Arabidopsis thaliana: one gene and its partner. The protein of the gene in region 1 interacts with the protein of each later gene in a pairwise test. Each region holds a gene or a part of one and is shown on either strand. Other genes may lie near its edges.

What was found. The genes of interacting proteins can lie anywhere in the genome.
Region 2: the proteins of HOS10 (region 1) and AT1G21000 interact in a two-hybrid assay, tested with the Arabidopsis thaliana proteins (one large-scale study listed by BioGRID).

Annotation. Positions count from the first base shown.
Region 1 is NC_003070.9:13,073,857-13,082,629, reverse strand, and holds HOS10 (high response to osmotic stress 10), read right to left. Parts: upstream 4,741-8,773; 5' UTR 4,705-4,740; coding exon 4,572-4,704; intron 4,493-4,571; coding exon 4,363-4,492; intron 4,215-4,362; exon of another isoform or gene 3,857-4,214; coding exon of another isoform or gene 3,701-3,856; intron 3,326-3,700; coding exon of another isoform or gene 3,249-3,325; exon of another isoform or gene 2,857-3,248; intron 2,741-2,856; coding exon 2,365-2,740; downstream 1-2,364. Other genes in the region: AT1G35516 (myb-like transcription factor family protein), read right to left, coding at 3,249-3,325, 3,715-3,856; AT1G35510 (O-fucosyltransferase family protein), read right to left, coding at 7,955-8,111, 8,206-8,396. UniProt on the Arabidopsis thaliana protein: Transcription activator.
Region 2 is NC_003070.9:7,335,631-7,341,948, forward strand, and holds AT1G21000 (PLATZ transcription factor family protein), read left to right. Parts: upstream 1-1,974; 5' UTR 1,975-2,288; coding exon 2,289-2,291; exon of another isoform or gene 2,292-2,295; intron 2,296-2,376; coding exon 2,377-2,580; intron 2,581-2,667; coding exon 2,668-2,883; intron 2,884-3,140; coding exon 3,141-3,458; 3' UTR 3,459-3,822; downstream 3,823-6,318.

The DNA.
Region 1 (8,773 bases):
TGATATTGAGCTTTCTTTCTAATTTATACAATCTACAGATCACATCTACATTCTAAACATTTGAGTATAGTATTTATTTTATGATATTTTGAAAAGGAAATTGTGTAACACGAAGTATATGGTTATTCAATAAATTAAAGATTTTCTTCTACCTATTATTGTACTTGCAAAACCGGATATTTTGGAGACATAAACCAAATGATACTGTTAAATATGTTATATTATTAGTAAATATTTCCTTAAATCTATCACTACAATTGTGTCATCACTCATAACTAGTTAATATATAATGATGGAAAACTAGGGAGTTTCGGCCAATTCATATTCAAATAAAACTACTAAGTCGTAATCATACATAAAATAAAGTATTGTGTGAATAGATACTTCAACTATCATGATTGGAGAAAATTCAAAAATAAAGAAGTAGAGGCAGAAAATGATATAAAAAGTTATCATAGATAGGGTGTAACGGCATCACGAGTATTCATATTTTGGTAAAGAGTTTTTTCTTCATTTCACATGCTTGAATTGTATTTTTTTTTTGGTGAGTGATAGGAGGCAATTGGCCCCTATGTTTTATTCAAATAAATGTAAAGAAATTACAATCGGACAATCATGGGTATCGTGTACCCATTGGTATCTTCCAACAAAACCGGCTTAACAATATCCGGGCAAAGATCAAACGAATGAAAACCAAGCGGTAAAGAAAACGCATAGTTCGCTAAAACATGCTTGAATTGTATTAAAACAGTCAATAATGTAGATTTTTTTTGAGAGATTAAGGAATAAGATACTACTATGTGATTGTTGCACAAAAAAAGATACTATGTGATTTGGAAATTTAAAATGTAACTTATATGAAAAATCAGGAATAGAAGGACAAAATTGATAATGTCAACAAGAAGGAAGGAAGAGAAAAGGAGGGAGGACCAAGTTGTATACTTCTATCTTAAAATATATTTGTTTTGCGAACAGAAAATAATATGAATAATCACTCTTGTAAAAATTATATTGGTTGCATAGATGCGACATATTTGTTTAATAAACGTTTCAGTGTATATATGCAAGAAGATTACAAAAAAAAAATCTATTGTCCAATGCATACAGTAAGTTTTATTGCATTCAAGTAACGAACAAATAAAATCATATTCAAATATACGTCATTGTATAACAAAAAGTATAAAACACACTTGAACATATCGATAATTGTAGTAATGCATTTATACATTTTAAAACAGCATCATCATCTAATTTTAAATATTTTTCTTCATATATTAGTTTATTTTCCAGTAACGTTTTCATAACCATAGATAATATGAGCATTTACCATCTGGCTAAAATTTTCACGGTAAATGTAGCTGTCGAGTAGCCTATTCACCAAGTTTTCTGAAAGATCTAAAACATGGTACTCACTTGCCAAATAAAAGGATAAGACTATTTCGTTTATACTATCAATTTCTTTTATAGTAATATTTCTGATTCATTAAGCAACCATCGACCAGTTCTAGCCCTCAACAGTAGTTCATCTACTACGAAGACATCAATGAGTTAACTACCATCTTAATCAAATGTTTACATCCGTGAAAATACCCCAACGCATATGACCACCCGTCATCCCATATAAATTTGTCTATATTATCTCGTTAGCTAAATTATTAGTGTTATAAAATCCAAGAAAAAAAATTATTATTATTATAAATCCAATAATTTTAGGATCTCACCCGTAATATACCGTCCCTTGAATGATTTTAAATTTATACTACTAATATAGATTTTAAATTTATCATATAAAGTATATGATTTCAAGTTTTTGTGTTTTTTTATTTAAATAAAGCAACGGCTTAAATGATGATAGATTTAGTTCTTTTTCTTGTATGTGTATATGACTTTTGTGTGAATATTTTAATTATTATAAATTAGTATTTTTATTGCTATAGAAAATGTTAATATACATATTTGCTATAAATCGGATTTATGCATATTTTGTGGAATAAAATTCACAGATTTTGTTTTTGAATATATATGGAAAGATTGTAATTTTCTTGTAAATACATGTGGCTTTTCTTGTAAATAAGTCCAAACTACAGAATTTATTTCACAAAATAACTGTAAAAATATATATATGTAAATATCATTATATATGTATACACTGTTATTTTGCGAGTTTTATTTTGCAAATTTGTATTATTCAACTATATTATTAAACGCAATGTTACCAATCAAACCCTAAATAATATCTTTGGTGCACACAACTCCAAAAAGACATAACTTGTTATGAGATTTATTATCATTAAAAGAACCCGTTTAGCAATTCATACAAGGTTCATATGTGATCCCAATTTACAAACACAAACGTCACACGAGCTAGTAACAAGATCCGACCCCGACAAATCGAGTCGGACTGTACCCGAGTGTTAGGTCCAAGTTTAGCTCCTTGTCCAGATGATCATATCTGTAATCACAATCAACACTTAACCGTAAATCCTCGTCCGTAGTCGTACCGCTCGTAGAAGCACAGTTTTCACAAGAAGTCTCCATCTTTAGTTTAACAGAACCGGGAAACGTGGACTTCAAATCTTCATTTCGGGGATGAAACGATGTCGTTTTAGGCTCGATGATCGAACCGTGAGTTTTTGGGTCAATACCACGGTTAAGAAGCTTCCTTTTTATATGAGTGTTCCAATAATTTTTAATCTCATTATCGGTTCTTCCCGGTAATTTCCCAGCAATCAAAGACCATCTGAAAAAAAGACATTCGAAATGTAAGGAACATTGGTTTAAAACTTGGTCATTTGGGTATATTAAACCGGTTATTTATTTGGTTTTGTCAAATTGGATCTGCTTGTATTTTTATTATTTTTTTCTCATAAGTGTTGCACTTTATTTAAAACCTTATGTTGTAAAGATACAACTGTGGAACCTTCCACTTACAAATCTTGACACATATTAAACCTTACAACATTGGATCAACTAAAATATAGTCATCCATATTACATAAAAAACCAACAAGTCTAACTTATAAGCAGAGGCCCATAAAGAAAGCCCAAACCAGGAAACAAAACCTTTAGAGGAAGTAAATTAAAGATTCCCTTCCACCACAAAGCCACGTGTGATGTTAACAAACAAAGTTGAAACACGTTGACTGAAGAAGCCTTAGTTGTCGCCATTCACCACCGTTCTGGTTAGCAACTCAGGGAACTCTAAAACCACCGGAAACCGCCGGAGCTTCAAGAGAAGTCCATTGATTTTTAATTAGAGAATCCACCAAACTTCATTAGCAAATTTGGAAAGGAAAGATCTCCCAAAGGCAATTGATTCCTGAAATCTAAAGAACATCGACGTAGAGTAAGCCGATGGAGCTTTCAGCAACACCTTAAAAAAGAACAAAAAAGCACTCGTCTCCATAGATCAGTTAGAGAAACAGCCACAATTGCAATAGTTTCAACCCATAAGCATAAAAAACCTTAATCCGCATCTTAATTTGTTCTCAAAAAATGAAATCGATAAGCGTGGAAAACAAATTAATCCCTTTAAACAAAGGAGGTTCAAGGAATTATATGCCAGATCTAACAATGAAACGCAAAAGAGCTCAATCAAACTGAATATAAAGAAATCGAGAGAAGAAAACATAAATCTAAACCGGAATCAATCCGGCCAAAAGGTAGACGAAACACCGAAGATAGGCGGTGAAACTCTAGACCTTAGCTAGCCTACCGCCGCTAAAGAAGCCAATGGAAGCCAAACGCAAACCGACCATCGTCGTAAAGAACCGAACAGTGTCAGAAGAACCACGACAATCAAACGTTGCCCTAAACATCGCCGGACAAAAGCCAGACATCCATGCTGGAAAAGCCATAAGATTCTGGACAGAGAACTGGCCAACAAACACTAAAGAAGCTATTGTTGCCGGAAAAAGAAGATCAGATGCTTTCTCTCTCTAAAAGATGCAAATGAGAGAAGAGAGAGAGAAGCCTACAAAACCTTCTTTTCCATTCAAAACGCATAGAATGCTATCTTCTCAATACTGGATCTGCTTGTATATAAACCAAATTGTACATTTATTCATTTTTATAAACTGAAGAGAAAACCATTTGATTAGTTTTCTCCAGTGTTTTCAAACCGGTTGAACCAGTTTGACTGTGAATCGAATAGCTATCCGATTTGAGTTATCACCAAAAACCGGTATTAAAAAGACTCACAACACCCGGTTTAAAATCTGATTAAACCAGTGAACCGGTTCGGACTAATGACCAAAACCCGATTCTTCATTTTTTTTAGTCTTTCACGGTTTAACCATTGGTTTTACTTTTTTACAGTAAAACTGGTTTGTTCATAAATCATAATTAAGAGAAAGGAAATTACTTGTTGCCAAATAAACTATGAAGTTTGACAATGATTTGCTCTTCACCATCAGTGAAATTTCCACGTTTAAGATCAGGACGAAGGTAATTAATCCATCTTAATCTACAACTTTTTCCACAACGCAACAACCCTAAAGAAAAGATAAAATCATCAGATCAAGAAACATAAAAATTTGAAAGAAAAAAAATCAAAACTTTGGAGAAATTTACCAACGGATTTAGGAAGAGAACGCCAAGAGCCTTCACCATGATTACGTATATAATCAATAAGACGTTGATCTTCTTCTTTAGTCCATGCTCCTTTGTTCATGTGAGCCTTTTCACAACATGGTGATCTTCCCATGATGATGGTTACATGTGTGGGTGATGAGACAAGAAGAGTGAGACTAGGATCTAAAGAGAGGTGTTATAAAAAGGAAGTGACTTTGACCAAGTTGGTGTATGTATCTTGTATTTTGTGGGTGAAAAAGATTTGGTAGGTTACCTTCTTTTTCTTTCTTTCCTTAGAGCATGTCCATTAAGGAGTCCTAATAATGGAATCCTTACATTTTTATACTAATAAATTTTGAATTTTTTTGAAATTAAAGTTCTTGTTGAATCCTAAACTTTTTTCTAGTCCATTAGTGAATCCTTAAGTGGGTTTCTTAAAAAAATAAATATGATAAATATTTACTTGACAAAATATGCTAATTTATTTATTTGACAAAGGGTTAAAGCTAATTCGAAGAAAAAAAAGAGCTTGGAAATGTAAAAACTATTCCAATAGTATTATATAACCTCATCATCTTCCTTCGTGAGTTTCCCTGCCAATTGAGAATATAGATGTTGCACTCTTGCAAGCTTCCTCACAGTTTTTGGGGCTTAACAACCACCCTGTCACATATACCCTGCAAAGCAGAAACTGCAGAACATCAAGATTGAACTTACGTTTAACTTTTCTCTTGTATTCTCTCGTACAATAGAGAACTGACTGCAACAGTTTAGCAAATCACATCAGTATGCATATCAGGAAATTTCAATGAAATGGATTCTATAATTGTTCAAAGCACTTTCAAGTAAAAATTGACCTGGTTAGTAAGTCACGCTCTATCTCCATATCACGACCCCTTGAAGCAGCTCTAGGCCTAGTTGCAGCCAAAGCTTCACTACAGACACCTAATCGATTCCTTTGAAAAAGTCTCTCAGGCTGTTTGCAAACATATTTATTAGAAACAAAAAACGAAGGTGCACATATCTTTATCAACATCACTTGTTATCACACAAAAATTTAGTGATATCTAAATTGAAACATTGGTTTAATCTAAAAATTAACTACTAAATAATATCCAGACACAAAACACACCTATAACTGTGCTAGCCAAGCAATGGGATCAATGTCGGTATCAGTAAATTATCCTGCTGTTACGAGCAAGCACAACCTAATTCCACGAGCCCGAAACATCAGTTAAACGAAACTTATAAAACTGTTTTAAGAATCGATACGAACACAATCTCTAAACTATCTTATTAAGAGACGACGCGTGATGATGATAATCACCAATCGTACGATCGGCCTCCGGAGTTTACAAGAGAAGAGAAAGAAAATTAATCGTGAAATGAAAAAATAAACAAGGCCAAAAGCGAGAAAAAAAATTGTTTTGTCAAACACAGAGCCAATAATATATGGCCACGTATGCGCCCCTTGAGATCAGAATAAACTCTAAAATTAGGTGCGAACCTAAGAGCATCTCCACTGGTGAGATACTACATCAATACCTCATAATATATTATTAATATTTTTATATTTAATTTAAGTAGAGAAACTTATACTAAAATTGTGCTTCCATTGGTGAGATACTCTTATAGGTATCTTATTAATATTAAAATATTATTATATTTTTCATATATTAAATTTAATATCTCTACAATATTTTTAAATATATCAATTATTATTTTTACAAATTATATTATTAAGTAGTTTTATTATTTTTAAAACCATAATTAAACATTACTTTACATATAAAACCATAATAAAAATTAAGTCTTTCACTTGGTAATGGATTACCACTTATGTAAGATAAGTAGAAATTAAAAGATTTATTGATGATTAAATTTTAAATACATATATCTGAAATCACAATTTTACATTAATCTGAAAATATTGCAAAATAAAAATAGAAAATTTTAAATGTTTGTTTTGTAATTAAAAAACTATTGTATTTATAACTAACACCAATTAAATAATATTAGTACATAATTTAAACATATACATAATAGAGCTTGTTATATAGATAATTTAATTTTATGAATTTTAAAAGTAAAAAAAATAAAAAAAAATAACAGACATATAAAGTATTTAATTGATGTTATAAAGTATAGATGATTGTATTTATAACAAAGAAAAGAAATTAATAACAAGGTGACATGTGGAAGAGAGAGAAAGTTTCTCTAAGTTTCTCATTTCATAAACGATCCTGAACAAAATTGATTAAAAAATTATTATTTTAATGTTTTTGATTTATTTTTATTTAGAATTTCTCAGTGAGAAACCACCAATGAAGATGGTCTAAGCTTTAATCACAATTTTTATTTATTTTTTGTTAAAATTATTTGAGGATTTCCCTTAAGAAACTGTTAAGGCCCTTCCAATGAACATGGTCTTAGATTTTATACTACTAAGAGAAAGGGTTTGGTGGGGATATTATTTTGATGGATTTGTTTTTTTGTTACAACTTACAAGTGATATGAATGAGTTATTTTATTACTAGTTATTTTTGGGTTGTTTTAATCTTCTAGAAGGAAAATGAGTGGTGGAGAAACACTGAAACAAGATCCAAATTGTATCCTACCTGCCTTTTTGGCACTATCTTTCTTTTTGTTTTCCTTTTCGAGAAGATTTTTTTCTTCGAGAAAAGAAAAATATTTTTTTTGTTCTTTCTTTGTTTAATTTAATTACACTCTCCATATACTTTCGCAATACTTTTACTTTACTATGAAACACAGCTACTATAAAACAGATTAAGGGTTTAAAAGTGGTAAGAACACTTGTCCATTTTTACAAAACAAAAACAAAGATGTAATTTGCTAAAAAGAATACTCAAAACAAATTCTTGCTAAAACAGTTGTATTTTGGGGTATGTGCAAATACAACTATACAGTCAAAACACCAAAATAAGACTAAAATCCTAAAGTTTCCCATACCCTATGAAAATTTCTTTAATAATTCTGACTGTAAGAATTTTCTAATAAGAATATGTAAACATATATATTATTTGCATCTTATATGAAGTAACTGAGTTCTGAAAAAAAAAAAAAAACTACAGATTAGAATGAAACAATTGTCCAATAGCCATTGCATAGATTATCAAAAGAGACCAAAATGTGCATAGTAGTATAGTACAATGGGACAGAAGGGAGAATGGTCACTAATGTTGAAAGAATGTTATGTACACACAAAAATTCGTATCAATAAAAAAATACTAATCTTAGATTCCCCCAACTTTTGAAGGGGAAAAATGCTTATACAGGACTCATGATACAACATATATATAGATAAGTTACATGTATGGTTGAAGTCATAAACAATAATTAACACTGAACAGCAGGAATCCGGTTTAAGCTGGATCGGTTTCAGGTTCCGGATCGGGTTCTTTACACATGCAGTCGGGCATGGGGAACGTGTAGAGTGATGCAGCGGGTTTCCTTAATTCGACTCCCTTTGCATCATTGTGTCTAAGCATATCTTGCATTTGTTTCTTGAAGTAGTCCCATCTACAAAAAAAAAAAACGTCCAAACCGAAGAAAATGCTTTAGAGGCAGAGGAATCTAAGAGCTTGATGTCAAGAGTTATAAAGAAATCAAGTACCTAATGCTCGGTTTATCTAAGAGCTGGACTAGTTTCCGCTTATCGGGTTTGATTGTCTCAGCGTGGCCTTTGTAAAGGTAGCGACGGTGACCTATCAAGAAATGTGGGAAGTTTCCACCTTGAGTGGATACAAACACTTCACTGTGGAGGCATACTGTGTAATCAAGTGCTGCCAATCTTGATGAGTGTCCCTACAGTTTCACAAATACAGCAATTTGTTTAGTGAACTAGAATATTATATAATGGTCAAAATCTTTCTATTCCAAGGGCATGTTATGGGAGAGCCCACGGGTTTTATGGGCAAATTGCTTTAAGAACCTAACACGCTCCCAACCTAATAATAGAATCATTCTGATTCCTACCAACCAGTGGACATAAATTTCTCTTTCCTATAAACAGGGCTTCTAAAAAGACAGAACTTTAAAAGCTATCATAAAAACATTTCAACATTCTCACCCAACTCTTGCTATCAATGTTCCCTCATCATTATTTGTTTCCCTCGTTTGAAATGTGTGAGACACTTTTCTATGACTAAAAATGAACCAACCAAACTCTATTCTATTTCTCA
Region 2 (6,318 bases), 5.7 Mb from region 1:
AATCTTCGTTAAAAAATATATAACATTTGGGTGATGATTAAAAAAGTAGACTGTAGTGGACCCGCCACACCTAATCGTACCCAATGATAATCCGGTAAGGTTCGGTTCCATTTGTCCGCATTCCCAAACTTAGAAAATGAAACGGAAAGAAAAACATAATGTGTTTTAGTTTTTATCTTAAAAAACTATAGACAAAAACTCAAAACATTTTTCGGATTGTATACCAATAAATAGAGAGAATGTAGTTTTAACCTCGCAAGTCTCAACTGATGATCCGACTCGTCCAAAGCATGTTTATAGATTTAACTAGTTTAGCTACCATTCAAATTTGATTTTTAGGTTACCGTCCATTTTTATAGGACCAATTCTATAAGAAGTGGTTTAGATATCGGGTAGATTTTCATTTTCCGACTTCATGCATGATTTAGTTCTTAAAACTTGCATGTTTGGCTTCTACTAAGACAACCCTCGTTTTTCTGACGACTCACGTGGTCAAACGGTGCACAAAGGTCACGTGAGGCACGTGCGTTCTACTGTTTAAACGCCTCTTCTCTTTTGCTTCTTTTTTGCCAATTTGAAAGAGATAAGAATACAAATTAAAAAGATGTTTCTTCCACTTTCCTCATCGCCGTTCTATGCTCACTTTCTTTGGTCGGATTTCCAATTACATTGTTAACTATTAGTGGTCACATAATTTTTTCATGACGTGGATCACACTTCTCTTTTTACATGTCTATCTCCTTAATTAGTATCTTTAATTGCTTTCGACATCAAAAGCTAATATCTATGTTTTACACTCTATTAGTTGTTTAATATTCACAATATTCAATATCAAATCTCACCGTATTTGGAAAATGTTTATTAGTTCAGTACATGACACACTCGTAATCAACATTTTGAATTTTTTAAAATGTTTTATTTGTTCAGTACATGACACACTCGTACATTTCGAATTGCTTACTTTTTTTGCTTTAACAACGTCCAAGTACAAAGGAGATTCTCTAAGACTACAGGATTTGACTTTTTACCAGAGAATCTATCAGGTTAAAAACGATACACACACACACACACAAATTTACAAAAACAACTCTAGTCTCTCTACTTCTAAAAGTTTAATAATTTGTTTTTAACTTTGAACTACAAACGAACTCCATTTATTGTTTCTTGGATCACGTTAAGTAACGTGGCAGCTGAACGTTGACCTATGACTCAAAGTGAGTCCCACTCTAACTATCATCTTGACGGCTCAGAGTTCTCCACGAGTGTGAAGTGTCAATCGGAGGAGGGGGTAAAACCGTAAAAGCTTCCGACACGTCCCACGAAAAAGGATAATACGAGAAGGCTCTTCTCATCATCCAACGGCTCACGATTTAACAAGACTAGTCTCGCTTCTGTCTCTTCTCATACCCGTCGATCTGTCTTGGCTTTTCAGCTATCGCCACCTCTTCTCTCTTTTTTGCTTATCTCTTCAATTTTCGGATTTAAATTTTACGAAAAACAAAGAATTAGGATAATACTATTTGTCTCTCTAATTCTGACCATAATTAATTTTTATTTTCATATTTGACTTTTACAAATTCAAGTGTGGGAGTTCCTTTATTCTTGTTGTATCACTCTCAATGCTTAACTAGATTTGACATCCACATATGTGTTTGTCCGCTTATTATACATATGATGATATGAAAATATATCAATCATTATATCATTCGTAAGCTGAAAAATTAGTATGCTATTTTTTTCTATGTCGAAACGTAATTATTTATGACCATATTTGAACAATAATATCGCATTTTCACCTTTTATTTTTAACCTTTTAAGACTTTCCTTTTAGGTCTTCTAGATGCACACTGGACAGACACGCATATTCAAGATACGTGTGTTTTTGGAGGACTTCAAAAAAAAAAAACGAGATAATGATTTTCCCAAATTACATAAAGAAGAAAACAAATTGATTTTCCCAAATAAAGGAGTCAGAAAAATATAATTTAGGAACAAACAAAAAAGATACCTTTAATAATAAACAAAAATAACTCTAAAAATATTTTAAAATGAAATTCGTATGAAATATAAACCGCATAAACTTATCGTGACCGCCTTCAAATAAAAATAAAACCCTTTATTTTCTCTCTTTCAGCCGCCGCTTTCACTTACCTCTTCCTCTTCCTTCTTCTTCTTCTACCTTCTTCTCGTAAAGGTTTTGCTACACACTGGAGCTCGCAAATCTGGCTATCGAAAACCACAATCACAAACTCAACTTCGGGGCCTTCAAGGCCAATCACAAGAAAGTCATGGTGAGTCTTATTTTTAATTCTTTTTGTTTGTTTTTACCTTGCTATCAATCTTCTCCAGATTCTGATTTGGTTTCGTTTTGTTCAGGGACCAATGATAAGAACAGAGGAAGAAGAAGACTATACAAGTCCACCGTGGCTAATGCCAATGCTACGAGGGAGTTACTTCGTCCCTTGTTCCATCCATGTCGATTCAAACAAAAACGAATGCAATTTGTTCTGTCTTGATTGTGCTGGAAATGCCTTTTGCTCTTACTGTTTAGTCAAACATAAAGACCATCGTGTTGTTCAGGTTCAATATCTCTTCTTCTTCTTTTTCTCCTCCTCAATCTCTCGGTTTTTTAATTGTAATGTTAATGAAAAGAATCAAAATTTGCAGATACGAAGATCTTCGTACCATAACGTTGTGAGAGTGAATGAGATACAGAAGTTCATAGACATCGCTTGTGTTCAGACATATATTATCAACAGCGCAAAGATCGTGTTCCTCAATGAAAGACCTCAGCCTAGAATCGGTAAAGGTGTTACAAACACTTGTGAAATCTGTTGCAGAAGTCTCCTTGATTCTTTCAGGTTCTGCTCTCTCGGCTGCAAGGTATAACACAAAAAGACTCTCCCTCTGTTTTTTCCCCTGTTTTCACCATTTTTGTTTGAAACAATTCATATGGTTTTAACAAAAATGTAAACTTTCTTAAAACCCATTAACGCATTTCACTTCTTAATGATATCTATATCAAATTTTATCCGGTTTTGTTTAGTTTTGTTCGTGATTCATGTGGATATGCTCTGTTTTTGTAATGTTATTTGTGGAAATAACGATATTGTCCTTTGGTTGTTTTTTGTTCTGTTTAGCTTGGAGGAATGAGGAGAGGAGATTTATCTCTAACCTTCTCTTTGAAAGGAAAGCATGGGAGAGAGTACCTTGGTGGGTCGGAATCAGATGAAGCTACTACACCGACTAAGATGCGTAAGACCAATGCTTTCAACCGTCTGATGAGTGGTCTCTCGATCTCAACCGTTAGATTCGATGACTACGGTCCCAATGGTGATCAAAGGTCTTCAAGCTCTGGTGATGAAGGTGGTTTTAGTTTCTCTCCGGGAACACCTCCGATCTATAATCACCGGAATTCAAGCAGACGAAAGGGTGTCCCTCACCGTGCTCCGTTCTAAGAAAAGATAATTACTAAATTTCCAACCCCATAGTAATTAATTATATATATATATATATAGATAATGGTATAATACAATGTATAACTTGGGGTGAAATTTAGGATGTAGTCATAATGTTGTAAATGTGTATTATTTCTTTTTATAGTTTTTCTAAAAGATAAAGGTGAAATAATTAGAACACATACATAAATACATTTTTTATAAGTATAGAAGAATTAGGTTTTATAGTGGAAGTGTTTGATGTTTAGTTTGTTTAAAAGGCATGGCTTTGTCTTGTGTTGTAATGTAATGTGTACATTAAATTTTTGTTCATACAATAATAATATCAAGGTGAATGATATATTATAAAGTTTATGCGTTGTCTAATGACTAGTGACTACTATATTTAGTCTATATCACCATTTTGTGACATTCATCTAAAACAAATGTTAGTGTAGTCTAATCCTTTCATGAACTGTTTTATATGGTAATGTGTAACTGAAGTCATGTCGTCATGGTTACATGGTTTGTATAAAAGTCGTAAGAGTGACACTGAGACATATTTTTCAATACTATTGATTGATTTGTTGTAGTTTGACGTAATCAAGAAGAATATTATAATAGTATACGCTAAAGAATATTATTATGCGGTTTAAAAAGTGAGCAAGTGGATAGAGGAAAATAAGAGCCGTGTGGAATCCGAAAGGCTGCGATTCTCTCTCACCGTTAAGAGACGGGTGTTCATTCCTTTTTCTGATCGCTCAAAATTATTCAACATCATATTTTAAACTCTCTACTAATCCACGGAATCGAATAATTGGCAAACTGTTATTGCTTATAAAATTTCATTAGTTATAATAATGTTTTAATTATGCCATTTCGTAAACACAAAAATCGTTTTCTGTAGCTTTTTAGGTATCCCACAAATTTACGTTTTCTTCTTTTCACTAGGTTTTCACACTTAAAGCATCACAACTTTTTACTTTTACCAAAAAAGTTCCGAGCTTGGTTCATAATTTCTCGGAGTCGAAAACTAGAATTTCAAATTATCTTGTTTAGGATCACTACAAATTTTATTTTACGAAAATGTTAACATCAAAAATAATTTATATAAGGCGGTAATCACATATTTTCAGTATATATAGTTTTTTCACTGTAGTTTGGTTTTCTAGAATAAGTAGTTACACAAAGAATTTATGATAAACGACTGTGAATGTGTGCTTGTCCTAAGTTAGTAGTTACCGAAAAAAATAGAAACAATATCTCAAAATAATATCGGAGTCTCACTTGTAAGTTGTGAAGGCCACCACAACATATATTTGTTGCATTTCTGTCTAAATCTTTGAACAGAAATGAAGTAAAGGAAACAAGAAATCGCATTATTTCTAATCTTATACTTTTGGATAAAACCTTTGCTATTTTAGTCCTTGCCAACAACAATACATGTATACAAGAGAGAGTATTGCGACCAAGGACCGTGGCTCTGCCACGTAATCTTAGACCGGCCCCTACCGGCTTAGGCAGCGACCGAATGGGGGCATTATAGACTTTTCAATAGGTCGGACTTTTCAGCTAGTTGTGCATCCTCGTCACTCCGACTACGACACGTGTCGAAGAAACCCATTAAGTGTACGACACGTGTGTTGAGAGAGTGTGAGGGGACCACGTGAGACCTTGTGTGGAGTTATCTTGTTCAGTCTCCCAAGACGTTAAGTAATCAATATAATATTAATGGGAACGCTAGCGACACGACGGGATAAGGATTTTGGTGATGTATTTAACTATTTCTATAGTTTTGTTGTCGCTATCGAAATCGTGATATTTTGTTTATTTCTGTAACTTTACTTAATGTGGAATATAGTACTTGTTCTTAATGATCACATAGAGTTACGAAAATGGTGTTAGCAAAACATTAAAATCTAGGATTTCTGACAATTAAGAAAAGATAATAAAATTTGGACTAGCTTGCAGTTTCACGTACGGACACATTATTACACATTAGGAGATTGTTTTGTTTCCTACAGTTTCATGCGTTTACTATAAAATAGTATTTTTATGATATAAATCTCCTCTTGACTATCAGATTATGTCGGAACCGAACCAGTACCCTTCTGTCTTTTTCTGCTCCTAAACCCTCTATTATCTACGAATTGCGATGAAAGCCGAAATTTCCACAGTACATTTAAATATTATATTCAATTGTGCCAAAGTAAATGTATGGTTCAAATTTGATTCAATAAGATACTAATTAGATGCAAGAAAGGAGACTAATCAACAATGCACAACGTAAAAGTAAATAATTAGAACGGATAAGTAATATTAATTAAGGCACTAATATTAAGGCTCTCAGCTCTGGTTCGTGGAATCAATAATTACGTATTGCTCTACATTAGACGTTGTTGCTAACATTCTTGTATTTTCTGTTACTTTCTTACATTTGAAATACAAAAATGTACTGTAACAGATATTATATTTCGTTATAAAAATCAGGCTTCTTCATTCATACATTGGTAGACTACAAAAGGTAGGCAAAGATAGTTTTCAGCATGGGGACAGGCAATATAAACGAAACCCTGAGGTCTATTTTTGGTTGTATCAATCCTCCTATATTGTTTGTTTCCGCTGGGTCCATATTTGCTAAGGCTATTTATGGTCCGTGGTTTTCTATCTTCCAAGAAACTAATTCTTTGAATCACGACGAAACTTAATATACGTCATAGACTCGTAGGATATTTATAGCTTTATTTTGAAAGTAACGTTATATACGTACCTAATGTGTGTATATATATAAATTAGTTTGGAGTACAGTGAATGATTTGTACTTTGGTGTGGTTCTTCAACAAACGTCGTCTGTTGTGAACCGAGGATTTGCAACTATCGG